3 linked regions of the Arabidopsis thaliana genome follow. The protein of the gene in region 2 interacts with the protein of the main gene of each other region in a pairwise test. Each region holds a gene or a part of one and is shown on either strand. Other genes may lie near its edges. The genes, in order: ATBET12, AT4G29450 and AT3G12180.

The links.
Region 1: the proteins of AT4G29450 (region 2) and ATBET12 interact in a protein complementation assay, tested with the Arabidopsis thaliana proteins (one large-scale study listed by BioGRID).
Region 3: the proteins of AT4G29450 (region 2) and AT3G12180 interact in a protein complementation assay, tested with the Arabidopsis thaliana proteins (one large-scale study listed by BioGRID).

What each region holds. Positions count from the first base shown.
Region 1 is NC_003075.7:8,308,256-8,312,010, reverse strand, and holds the start of ATBET12 (Target SNARE coiled-coil domain protein), read right to left. Parts: upstream 1,693-3,755; 5' UTR 1,530-1,692; coding exon 1,516-1,529; intron 1,213-1,515; coding exon 1,062-1,212; intron 597-1,061; coding exon 540-596; intron 452-539; coding exon 392-451; intron 292-391; coding exon 206-291; intron 98-205; coding exon 73-97; 3' UTR 1-72. Other genes in the region: AT4G14450 (uncharacterized protein), read right to left, coding at 2,115-2,492. UniProt on the Arabidopsis thaliana protein: Required for vesicular transport from the ER to the Golgi complex. Functions as a SNARE associated with ER-derived vesicles.
Region 2 is NC_003075.7:14,480,956-14,484,710, reverse strand, and holds the start of AT4G29450 (Leucine-rich repeat protein kinase family protein), read left to right. Parts: upstream 1-2,084; coding exon 2,085-2,160; intron 2,161-2,513; coding exon 2,514-3,554; intron 3,555-3,639; coding exon 3,640-3,755. Other genes in the region: PLA2-DELTA (Phospholipase A2 family protein), read left to right, coding at 1-120; PLA2-GAMMA (Phospholipase A2 family protein), read left to right, coding at 781-898, 1,005-1,124, 1,192-1,365, 1,494-1,645.
Region 3 is NC_003074.8:3,881,267-3,885,021, reverse strand, and holds AT3G12180 (Cornichon family protein), read right to left. Parts: upstream 1,693-3,755; 5' UTR 1,559-1,692; coding exon 1,484-1,558; intron 1,003-1,483; coding exon 821-1,002; intron 736-820; coding exon 613-735; intron 513-612; coding exon 452-512; 3' UTR 158-451; downstream 1-157. Other genes in the region: AT3G12170 (Chaperone DnaJ-domain superfamily protein), read right to left, coding at 2,367-2,571, 2,664-2,754, 2,846-2,928, 3,015-3,121, 3,207-3,266, 3,348-3,449, 3,551-3,649.

The sequences.
Region 1 (3,755 bases), 6.2 Mb from region 2:
GGAGAAATCCAAAAATGGAAGTCCCAAACGAAACTATTCATTTAACACTCTACTTTCTTCTTGTATCCAAATTTACCCTTTGATGTAGTTTAATAGCCTGCAAAATCCGAAAGATTGTCAGTGTTCGAGTCAAAGAACAAGGACTTGAACCAGTCCCTAAGAAAAGTCAAGTGTTTTGATAACTATAAGAAGAAGTGTATTTTACCTAATAAGGTAATACATGATCAAGAACAGGAGCACAAAATAAGCTATGAGTTTGCAACTTTTTCGATTAGACTTCTTCTCAAAGACCTGTCGTGTTAAAATCGAGTTTTATTCAGATATAAGTTTTGATAGCGAAAAACAAAAGGGGTGATGCATATATAAAAGGTACGAAATCTTATTTACATACCAACTTGAAGCGGTTGATCGTTCCCGACATTATCCCCCTCGCGGAGTCCATTTTGTTCCCCTAGAGATACAACAACAAATAGCTTAGAAGAAAAGCATGTGATAGAGATCTACAAACTGAAACAGATGAAATCAAACTTTCAGCTTACCACTTTGTCAAGCAAGCGGTTATGATTCTCAACTTCTTCATGTATGTCTCCAGTCACCTGATAAGATATTATTACCAACTTACATCTCAGGCAAGCGTTATTGCAAACTAGATTTGACAAGAGTGAAAACAAAAAAGGCATTGTTTTCATAACTAGACTTTTCTAAGGCATTACATCATAGCTCGATCCTTGTCGTTGAGTCCGAAAGACTTATACAGGGTCTAGTGATAGCAATGCTGGAGAGAATGTTCTTAATCTACAATTTCAATACATATCTAGGAACTAAAAACTAAGTTCAATTTCTTTATATCTAGACTTTTCGAAAGCATTAGATCATCGTTCGATGCTCGAAAGATACATTTAGGGTCTCGACTTAGCAGTGCTTAAGGGACTGTTCTTTCTCAAACAATAAGGATCAGTAGCACCATCCATTTCACAATAAAGAATCACAATTCTTAATCCTAATGTTTATGCTTGTGTTGATATTTTGATTCTTTAGTTATATAGATGAAAGAAACATACTCTCTTGAGAAACGAAACTCTGTCCTGAAGATTTTCCAAAGCTTCATCATTATCACGTTCGTCATGAGCATACGAAGAAGAAGCTCTCAAGCGACCTTCTTCAAGTCCATCAAGGCCATCAAAGAGAGACGTTCTCGAAGCACGATTCTCCCTACAGAAATCAAAACCATTGGTTCTTAATCAGATCCAATTTTCTCCAATTCTAGTTGGATACACTCAATTCAAAATCTGGAAAACTGTAATTAGAACTCTAGAATTAGGTCAATGACTCAGAATCAGGAATTCGAATGTCGGTGATTCAAAAAACTAAGATTTCAGAAAGAGTGAATCTGGAGATTGTGAAGAGATCTAGATCAAATTCGATCGAGAGCAGAATCAATATCATTTGTTAAACATTGATGAATCTACATAAAAACAGGATTCGAATGCAGAGGAAGAGATCAATAGATCAAACCTTCGAAAGTTCATTTGATTCGTCTTCGATTCTACTCTCTTACGAAGGATTCAACATAACAGACGAATTTAGAGCATTGTAAAGGAAATTCTCGATTTGGATTCAATTCCAGAAGCGTAAGTTTTCGTGTTTTGTTTGCGAGAAACGTACGAAAGTTCTTACTGTACTACAAGTCCCTAGAAGAAGAAGAAGAAAATAGAATTAAATTGAATTGGGCTTACTGGGCTTTAGTTCGGCCCATATTGAATCCATGAAGTTAGTTTTTTTATTTGTTAAAAGTGAACACTTTGAAGAAATGAACTTTAAAGAAAAGTCCAACCCTAGATGTATGATGGGTTAATTTGACAATTTATTTAAAGAATTCATGCAACTATTTTCTCCATGTTTTTCCCATAATTTTGTTTCATGTGTTTTATGCATTTTTTTTTACCCATTTAGAACTTGAATTAATACTTTGTTAGTGAATAATATTATCTCTTAGAGGATAAAACTGATACAAAAACGTGAAAAATAGTTAACCGCGTGTAATATCACAGGAACAAAATTCACACGGGGCTGGTAGCTGAGTCATCAAATCTACAAAATTTTGATGAACCGTTCTAAACCTGGATGAACGGTGGGACAAACGTTGTTGGCTCGTAGCAGAACGGCGACGCGGGATGTTGCCATTTCTTGAAAACTGGTGTCTTCTTCACCTCTTCTTCCACTGGTATCTCAGTCTTGTTCTGCGGCGGAGGAACATGTGATTGGTCGAAGGATGATGTTAGAGAAGGAGCGAGCGGTGAAAGGAGAGGGATCGCCACGTTCCAGTTACTAAAAGACGTTGGTTTGATCATTAAAGACGGAGCTCGTCTCTGTAGCTGGCTAAGTTGCCTCTCGTTACTGGCCGCGGAGCTGCTTGTTCTTTGCATCGTGGACGCCATGGAGATAGATTTGTGAATTGTAGGATAATTGAGTACTTTTGTATCAAAGAACATAATAATGATGTTGGTGTGTGATGTCTGATGTTTATGTAGATGACATATATAATAAGGTGAGGAGGGCCACGACTTGTAACATGTTGACTAGGTACATTACATACACGCTTGGATATGGTCATTGGTCAGAGTTGGAGAAAGAAAATTAGCTGCTTTATCTTCCCTTTTCCCGTTTCTTTACATTTTTGTTTTGGCAATACTCTTTGACCAATTCTTTTTGAATTTTCCATGCTTGTTTTTATGTTAAAGTTCTTTTTAATATTAAATTACAAAGACATCGATCTTGTTAATGGAAGTCAAACATGTTCATGAAATGTTAAATGGTGGATGAGGTTTACCTATACAGATTCTCGTGAACATGTTCTATTGGACTTTTATAATATATATGGACCAGAGGTGAATATGAATATGAATATGTAAGTTGAGTCTAGTGCGGACAGAGCTTTACAATCTAAGCCACAAAACAAAAGAAAGCAAAAATCGGACCATGTCACGATGTGCTTAAATATGTGAGGTTTTTGCATTTTTCAGGCCAAGTCAAGTCAACTAGCCGCCTGATTAACTTCTACACGAACAAAAAAATGTAATCCAATGGTTTGTGTTAGTGTTGTCAGTGTGTCATCACCCTTATGGCCTTATTCAAACCCGCATATTGCATGTTGCTAACCAAAATATAAATAGTAAGAAAGTTAACATGATCTTGTAATATATGAGTATACTGATTTGTATTATAAGTCCCATCGTGGTGTCATTAATCGAACACAGAGCCGTCTCTAGTATTTAATAGATTGCAAGCAAAGAACAAAATTTAGACCTATTTTAATGAGTGAAAATGAAAAAATAACAAGGTAAATGAAGGTAGATGGACTCAAACTTTTGACGACCATAGGTATCTAAGAATCAAATAATCAACGTTTTTACTGAAAGTTATAAAAAAATTAGGTCAATATTTTATTTGTAGTAATTGAGGCCGCAAGCATAAATTTGGTCCTATTGCGTTCATGGACGGCTCTGATCGGACATAAATACGGTATAAAATTTTTTAAAAATAAAAGTCAATAAACAAGATAAATCTTAGTATTTATTCGGTATAAAATAAAAATCTTTGCATATTAAATAAATATTTGAATATGTATTTGAATTATAGGATCTTGTAAAATAATGATTGTTATATGTCTAGTTAACAGTTTTATCGGTTAGACCGGCTGGTCAAGTATGGATCTAAAGACACTGTTCTTTTCTATGTAGCTTGTGTATTTAATA
Region 2 (3,755 bases):
GTGGAGGTGGATCTGGCACGGAGTAAAGCGGACACAAAAGATGGCCTTGGAACAAATCAAGGCCCTCAAACAAAAGATGGCTCCAAAGTCTCTGTTCCGATGAACCCTTCTCCTTCTTGATCATTAGGTGACTCATAACTCTCAAGTTTTGTAGATTATTTAACTTTGTTGTCTTATGAAAAATGATCAAGATCTTGAATTCTCTCAGGTTCATGATTCCCATGTATTTTATACATTACATTAGTTTCTCTTTTACTCTAGATATGAGAGGATTCAAAACGAATTCATACTTATATAAGAAATCAAATGTAGAAAAGAAGAAAAAGTGTATATGGATTTTTTTTTTCTAATAAATCAAACATAAATTCTGTTGTTTCTTGATGTAAAAATCAGCAATGATACGAAAATCGAAACATATTAATCTGCAATCTATTTGTAACAGATTGCATTAAGAAAATCATTAGCCGTTGCGAATACATAGCTTAAACGTGTTCTGTTCCAAGAGGTAACAAAAATGATACTCTGTTTTTACCGTCCATGATAATGCTTCTTCGAGAAGGAACGTCCATAAAATATGATGATTTGATTGGTAGTCATGCAACTTCTTCATTTTTTAAATTCTTGTGTACGTAAAAGAGAGAGAGAGGGGAAGGACAAGAAAGCAGGAGGACCAACCAAAAATGGGATATTCCATTCCAGAGAGAGCCAAAAATAGTTTGGGACAGAATTTGAAAGAACACAAAACCCAAAAACTTCAACCAGAGAGCGAGATTTAGAAAGATGATCACCGGGCTTGCTTTGTCACGTGTTGCTTTCGGTTTAACCGCCTTCCTCCTCCTCGCCGTCGTTAGCAGCCAGGAGAAGTGCAGCAACACCTGCATTGCACAGAACTGCAACAGTAAGATTGTTTTTTTCTTATCATCTTAGTTCTTATGCCTTCCTTTGATTTTGGAGAAAAAAACTTGTGCATGCATTATATGTTTTGATCCAATCTTTGTTTTCAGGTCTTGGTATTCGCTATGGGAAGTATTGTGGGATAGGTTACTTTGGATGTCCTGGAGAGCCACCTTGTGATGATCTTGATGCTTGTTGTATGACTCATGACAATTGTGTTGATTTAAAAGGTAAACCAATCAACAACATAATCTATGCATGAAAACCATTCTTGAGTTAATATTTGGTTTTTATTAGGTATGACTTACGTTAACTGCCACAAGCAGTTCAAACGTTGCGTAAACAAGCTAAGCAAATCTATTAAACACTCTAACGGAGAAAAGATTGGATTCTCCACACAATGCCCTTATTCGATAGTGATACCAACCGTGTTCAATGGAATGGATTACGGCATTTTCTTCAGTGGGATAGGTAATTATTGAGCTCTGATTTTGTGACATTCAATATAAGCTAGTACTAGTGATGAAACCACATGACTCTTTTTCTGTTACATTGTGACATTTCTTATGATAAGATATATGTGAATAATCTCTGCGCAGGTAATATATTTAATCCCCCGGTGCTGGGAAGCGTGCCCGTCGTGGAGGTGGATCTCGCTCGGAGTAAAGTGGACACAAAGGATGGCCTTGGAACAAAACTAGGCCTTCAAACAAAAGAAGGCTCCAAAGTCTCTGCTTCTTTAAATATATGAGCCCTTCTAGTACTATTTCTTGATCATCTTCTAAAGTGACTACTCTCTGTAACTTCGTTGTTATAGAAAATTCATAAAACAAAAAAAGACTTTGAATTCTGTCCCAGATCAAAATCAACTGGCAATCAATGACTCAGTCTATGTATTTTATCTATTATTTTGGATGTTAATCACATCTTTAATAACTTCACTAAAGTCAAAACGTGACATTGTCACTAATTCCATCTTATAAAATCCAGGTTGTCTTCCTGTCCTTAGTGGGAAATATATATAGTTACTGAGCCAATGATGAAAGAAAAGTCTACAAACACCTGGCTAATACCATAAAGAGTAGACTTTGCACTTTTTGGCTTTTAATTAAGCTTATCTTACTCGCACGTAGTCTGTTTTTTTCCTGAAGATGGTAAGCTGAAGAACTTCTGAAAAAAGAGAGAAGAAAATGAGGGCTAATCTCGTTTTCGGCATATTTTGTGCCCTTGTTACCACCATTTTAGTTCACGGCCAAGACCAATCAGGTTCCCTCTTCTCCTCTCTGTTTTGATTTGAAATTGAGGCGAGGTTCAGACTGAAGAAAGCTTGAGTTTTATTATGAAAAGTTTTTGTCTTTTAAACATGTCTTGGATTTTTAGTCAAACCCTTATACAATGTCTTGTGTTACAAGTAATCATACAATTCTCTCTTTTCTCTGTTTTCTAATTTGAAATTGACCGATGTTCTTGAAGGTTCTTGAAAGTTGTGATCTACGTTTTTGTCAATATAGAGAAACGAAGTTAGGCAGATTTTTAAACCTATCCATGAACGTTCTCAGACGTCATAAACAATTTTACTTGTGTTGGAAGTAACTCCCCTTTCTTCTCCTCTGATCCAGGTTACATCAGCATCGATTGTGGCATACCTCCTTACGATACCCCTGAAGACACTATGACTAACATTAATTACGTCTCCGATGAAGCTTTCATAACCACCGGCGTAAACTTCAAGGTCTCTGAAGAATACGGCTATCCAAAAAACCCGGTATTGCTGTCAACTCTTGCTGAAGTAAGAGCTTTCCCTCAAGGAAACAGAAACTGTTACACCTTAAAACTTTCACAAGGAAAAGATCATCTTTATCTCATTAGAGCTTCCTTTATGTATGGAAACTACGATGGTAAAAAAGCTTTGCCTGAGTTTGATCTCTATGTAAACGTGAACTTCTGGTCGACAGTGAAATTCAAAAATGCTTCTGATCAAGTCACCAAAGAGATTTTAAGCTTTGCAGAGTCGGATACAATATATGTTTGCCTTGTGAATAAAGGCAAAGGAACTCCTTTTATTTCAGGGTTAGAGCTCCGACCAGTGAACAGCTCAATCTACGGTACTGAATTTGGAAGAAATGTCTCTTTGGTTCTCTATCGAAGATGGGACATTGGATATTTAAACGGAACAGGACGGTACCAAGACGATAGATTCGATCGTATTTGGTCTCCATACTCCTCAAATATCTCCTGGAACTCGATTATAACATCGGGCTATATCGATGTTTTTCAGAACGGTTATTGTCCACCTGATGAAGTTATTAAGACAGCTGCTGCTCCTGAAAACGTTGATGATCCGTTGGAATTGTTCTGGACATCAGACGATCCAAATGTTCGGTTCTACGCATATCTTTACTTCGCGGAACTCGAAACACTAGAGAAGAATGAGACTAGAAAGATCAAGATTTTGTGGAATGGTTCCCCTGTTTCTGAAACTTCTTTCGAACCTTCTTCAAAATATTCAACGACGTTTTCTAATCCAAGAGCTTTCACTGGTAAAGATCACTGGATTTCTATTCAGAAGACTGTAGATTCAACGCTTCCACCGATTCTCAATGCTATAGAGATTTTTACCGCACAATCTCTAGATGAATTTTCCACCACAATTGAAGACAGTGAGTTTCCACTTTCAATCTCTATTTAGATAGAATTAGATTTCTACTGAAACTCACATAGTCACATTTTCTCTTGGTAATGCAGTTCATGCTATAGAAAGCATAAAAGCAACTTATAAAGTGAACAAGGTTTGGAGTGGTGATCCTTGCTCCCCAAGATTATTCCCTTGGGAAGGTGTTGGATGCAGCGACAACAATAAT
Region 3 (3,755 bases), on a different chromosome or scaffold from region 2:
AAATTGGCTCATATAAAAAGGTTTGTTGAAACATGCCTTGGTTTTTGTTCTTGCAGAGTTTCTGTTTGGGTCACCTTCTCCTCCTCCTCTTGGATGGACATGGATTTAAGGTCCACAGCGGGTTCAATTGCATCTCCGATAAACTAGATATCGGTGCGTTTTTCCACAGCCAGTCTATGTAATACAATGTAGCTTCATTCTTGATACATGATTTTTATGACTTCAATGATGAGACTGAACATTATATTGCGCAAAACAAAACTGATGAAACCCTCCATGTCAAACGATTTGTGATGAGTTTTCGGTAATCATACGTTATATAAAGCTACATGATGAATCCCTGAATGGCTAATTCTAAGCAGGGACGTAATAAAAACCTGTCACAATTTTCTAAAACACACTCAGAAAATAAAGAGAGAGTGGTTGATAACGCAGAGCGCAAGCGCATAAATCAAAACAAATGAAGTAGATCATCATCTTCCGTGAAGCTATAGACCGCAGAGAGAGTGAGCCTGCAAAAATGTTTTATGGACTCGGTAAGTAACTTCATAGTAGAAGAACCAAAGTAAGTGAAGATGTTAATAGGAAAGCTAAAGCTGTAGTTTTTTTTACCTAAAGACAACCATGATGAAGAGAAAGACGTAGAACCCGAGCTTGGTATACCGGAGCTTCTTTTCAAAGCTGATACCACGGAACACTTCAGTGACATCGATGAGATAACGTCGCTCTTTGTATCTGAAGAACAATGGGAGGCGCGTATTTAGTTTCCACGCATGTCAATCAAGAATCATAAGCAATATGGATGGATATAGATACTTACAACATTGCGTGATAGACTGTTACAGGGACGGCGACCAGAAAGAAGACCCAATGCCATGTGAGGAGGAAGAGAAGGCAGAGTGACCCTTGGAGGATAAACTCAGGTATTACTAATCGGTTGATACGGGTACTTGTTTCAAAAGGGTTCAAGTAATCAGCTTCTAAATCCGTTAAGCAGATAACCTACAAAATCACACACGATATCAATAGACTAAAAAGGAATCTCAATGCTTCAATCATTAGCAGAGGCAGTTAGTATGAGAGTAAACACTATTGGTAGTAGTATCTAACTTCATTCATTCACAGTATATAACTCGCAATTAATCAACTATATGTCTCAATTGACCAAGTATCATATACAAGCCTTGCAGACAATCCAAATCAGAACTAAGAACAACTTTGAGTTAGAAGCATAAGATTAAGGATAAACAATGAAACCTCTCTGGACCCAAAAAATTGTCAATTGTATTTAGTACAAAACCGACGAACACAAAGGAAAATTGTTCCATTCCTAATTTTTTAGCTAATTCGAACAAAAAGCTAAGTTGCTCGGTGTTTTTTCACAAGTACAATTCCGACAATCAGGATTTGAACAGTAAGGACAGATCTCGATTTAAGAATCTTAATGGAAAGTAAAAGGGGACAAACAAAGTAGATAGATTACCTGGTAGAAGACGGAAGCGACGAGAGCCAAGCTAACGAAGAAGGAGACTATCCATAAAAACAAATCCCAAGCCATATTTGCTCTCTTCAACAATTACGATTCGTCTTTTTGCGACTGCGACTCTTCTCCTTAAATACCTTTGAAAAAAAAAGAACTCTTCTTCTCTCAACAATTGGTGTACTTTACTTTGGGGTTCTATTGGACATTAGATTCTTCTTTCCTTTTTATTATTACTTCTCTAGTTTCTTTTTGTGAATATCCTTTTTGTTAAATTCCTTTTTCTTTTTCAACAAAAAAAAAAGATGCTTGGTGTTAATTAATAAAGAACTAACAAAATTTATTAACTGTATGCCATTTAGGCCTATACAAGCCATATAAGTAAATAATTTCATTTTTTTCTTCTCTTTTAGAATAATTATTTGGTTCTTTTAAATAAGTTCACTTGAAATTTGTTAGTTCTTTATTTAGGCCTATACAAGCCAAAGGATCCGTCCACTCTCCTCTTCCCGAGAAACTTGGTTGATACCGTACGTTTATATGTTACATTGTAACAAAGGCTTGTTTAGTTATCAACTGATTATGATGCATTACTCGACCTGATTGTTTTTGCAGGTGGAGAAGTCCTAGGACCCGGTGATAGAATTTCTCTTCTTCTGAAGATCCAGACGACATACACGTGGGACCCTGAGCTTTTGAACTGGTAAACTCACTGCTTTTTTTGTTGTTGGAAAAAAGACAAAAAGTAAAAATACACATTGTTTCCTAGCAAATACACATTAGTCTTCAACTTCTAAGAAGCAACAAATGTGATCTAATTTACGCTAAAAACATTGGTCTCCATTACAAACACGAAACCTAAATTTCACAAACTACTACATAATCTTTATTTTTTTCTAGACTTCTTCGATGATCTCCGGCTTTCAACTTTTCTCTGAGCAGCTTCGAACTCTTCTTCGTTTGGCTCAGAGTCAGCATTGCTACCATACCTAGAGACAAGTGAAGAGAACATTGAATCGAACTTCTCTTTCCTCTCATCTCCCCGCTGGGACATTACAGCGTATAAATCTTTATCTGCAGCCTTTGCTGCTCTGAAAGTATAGAAATTTTGAAACAGGTCACAACAAAGATAACTTCAGAGGGCATTTATTGGGGTGGAAAAGGTAGACAAATAGAAGCTTACTTCCGTCTCATCTTCTGGGGATTCGTGGGAGGTTCCATTTCTGCAATCTCCTTTGCCCATTTCTTGTAAGCTTTTGTTGATTTCACTTCTCCTGCAGATGTTAAACAATGGTATGCACAAACAAATCAGAACCTGGATAGGTTTTATAGACAAAAGAATTATTGCAAGAAAGAGAAGCCTACCCGCTGCAATGGCCTCATCGATAATATCTTTGAAACGGTGCGAATCAAGCTTGGGGTTCGAGCAAAGCATTGAGCAGAAAAGCCTGAAAGAGATATAGTACCAATAATGTTTATACAAACTTCAACTCACAAACTTGACAATAATGAAAACAAGGGGATGATTAATTACCTGCTCATTTTACCCTTAAACTTGTTATATAGCTCAATCAAATCATTCTTCTCGGATTCAGAACCCCTATAGTTGGCCTCAAACTCTTCAATATCTTCCTCGGTGACCTATAGCACAAATGATCAGTATACAGAACGAAACAGTTGTGTTGCAAAGTCCAAAAAGAAATCAATTGTGAATCATGATTCTTACCTTCTTGTACATTGCCTTGAAGAAGTCCCTCAAGTTGTCAACCACATCTCCCGAAAGATCCTAATGAGATAGGGAAATAACCAGTTTGTAAGAAAATCCTCCAGTACCTTTACTTAAGTTGAAAACTTTCTTTCAACTTACAGCATCATCAACTGAGCCAGTTTGATCATAGACTGCTCTTTTCTCTTCATCACCGAGAATCGAAATAACCTTTTGCAACTGCTGAAATTTCTCTTTAGCATCCTGTATTGGATAAGAAAAACAAGAATTCCGGTTACAATGTAAAATTGAATAGACCCCTAAAAACTAAGAAAAGTAAAGAAACCAAAACCCCTCAGTTAAACCTCATCATCCTTGTTTTTATCAGGATGAAGCCTCAATGCTAACTTATGATACGCTTTCCTTATCTCTTGTGGAGATGCTGTTGCTTCAACACCAAGAACCTTCAACAAAGACGCATTCATTAGTTCGTTTCACTGAATTCTACTAACCACCAAGAAAACAACTAAGAATTGCAACAGCTACGGTACAAATTGATCAAACCATGGA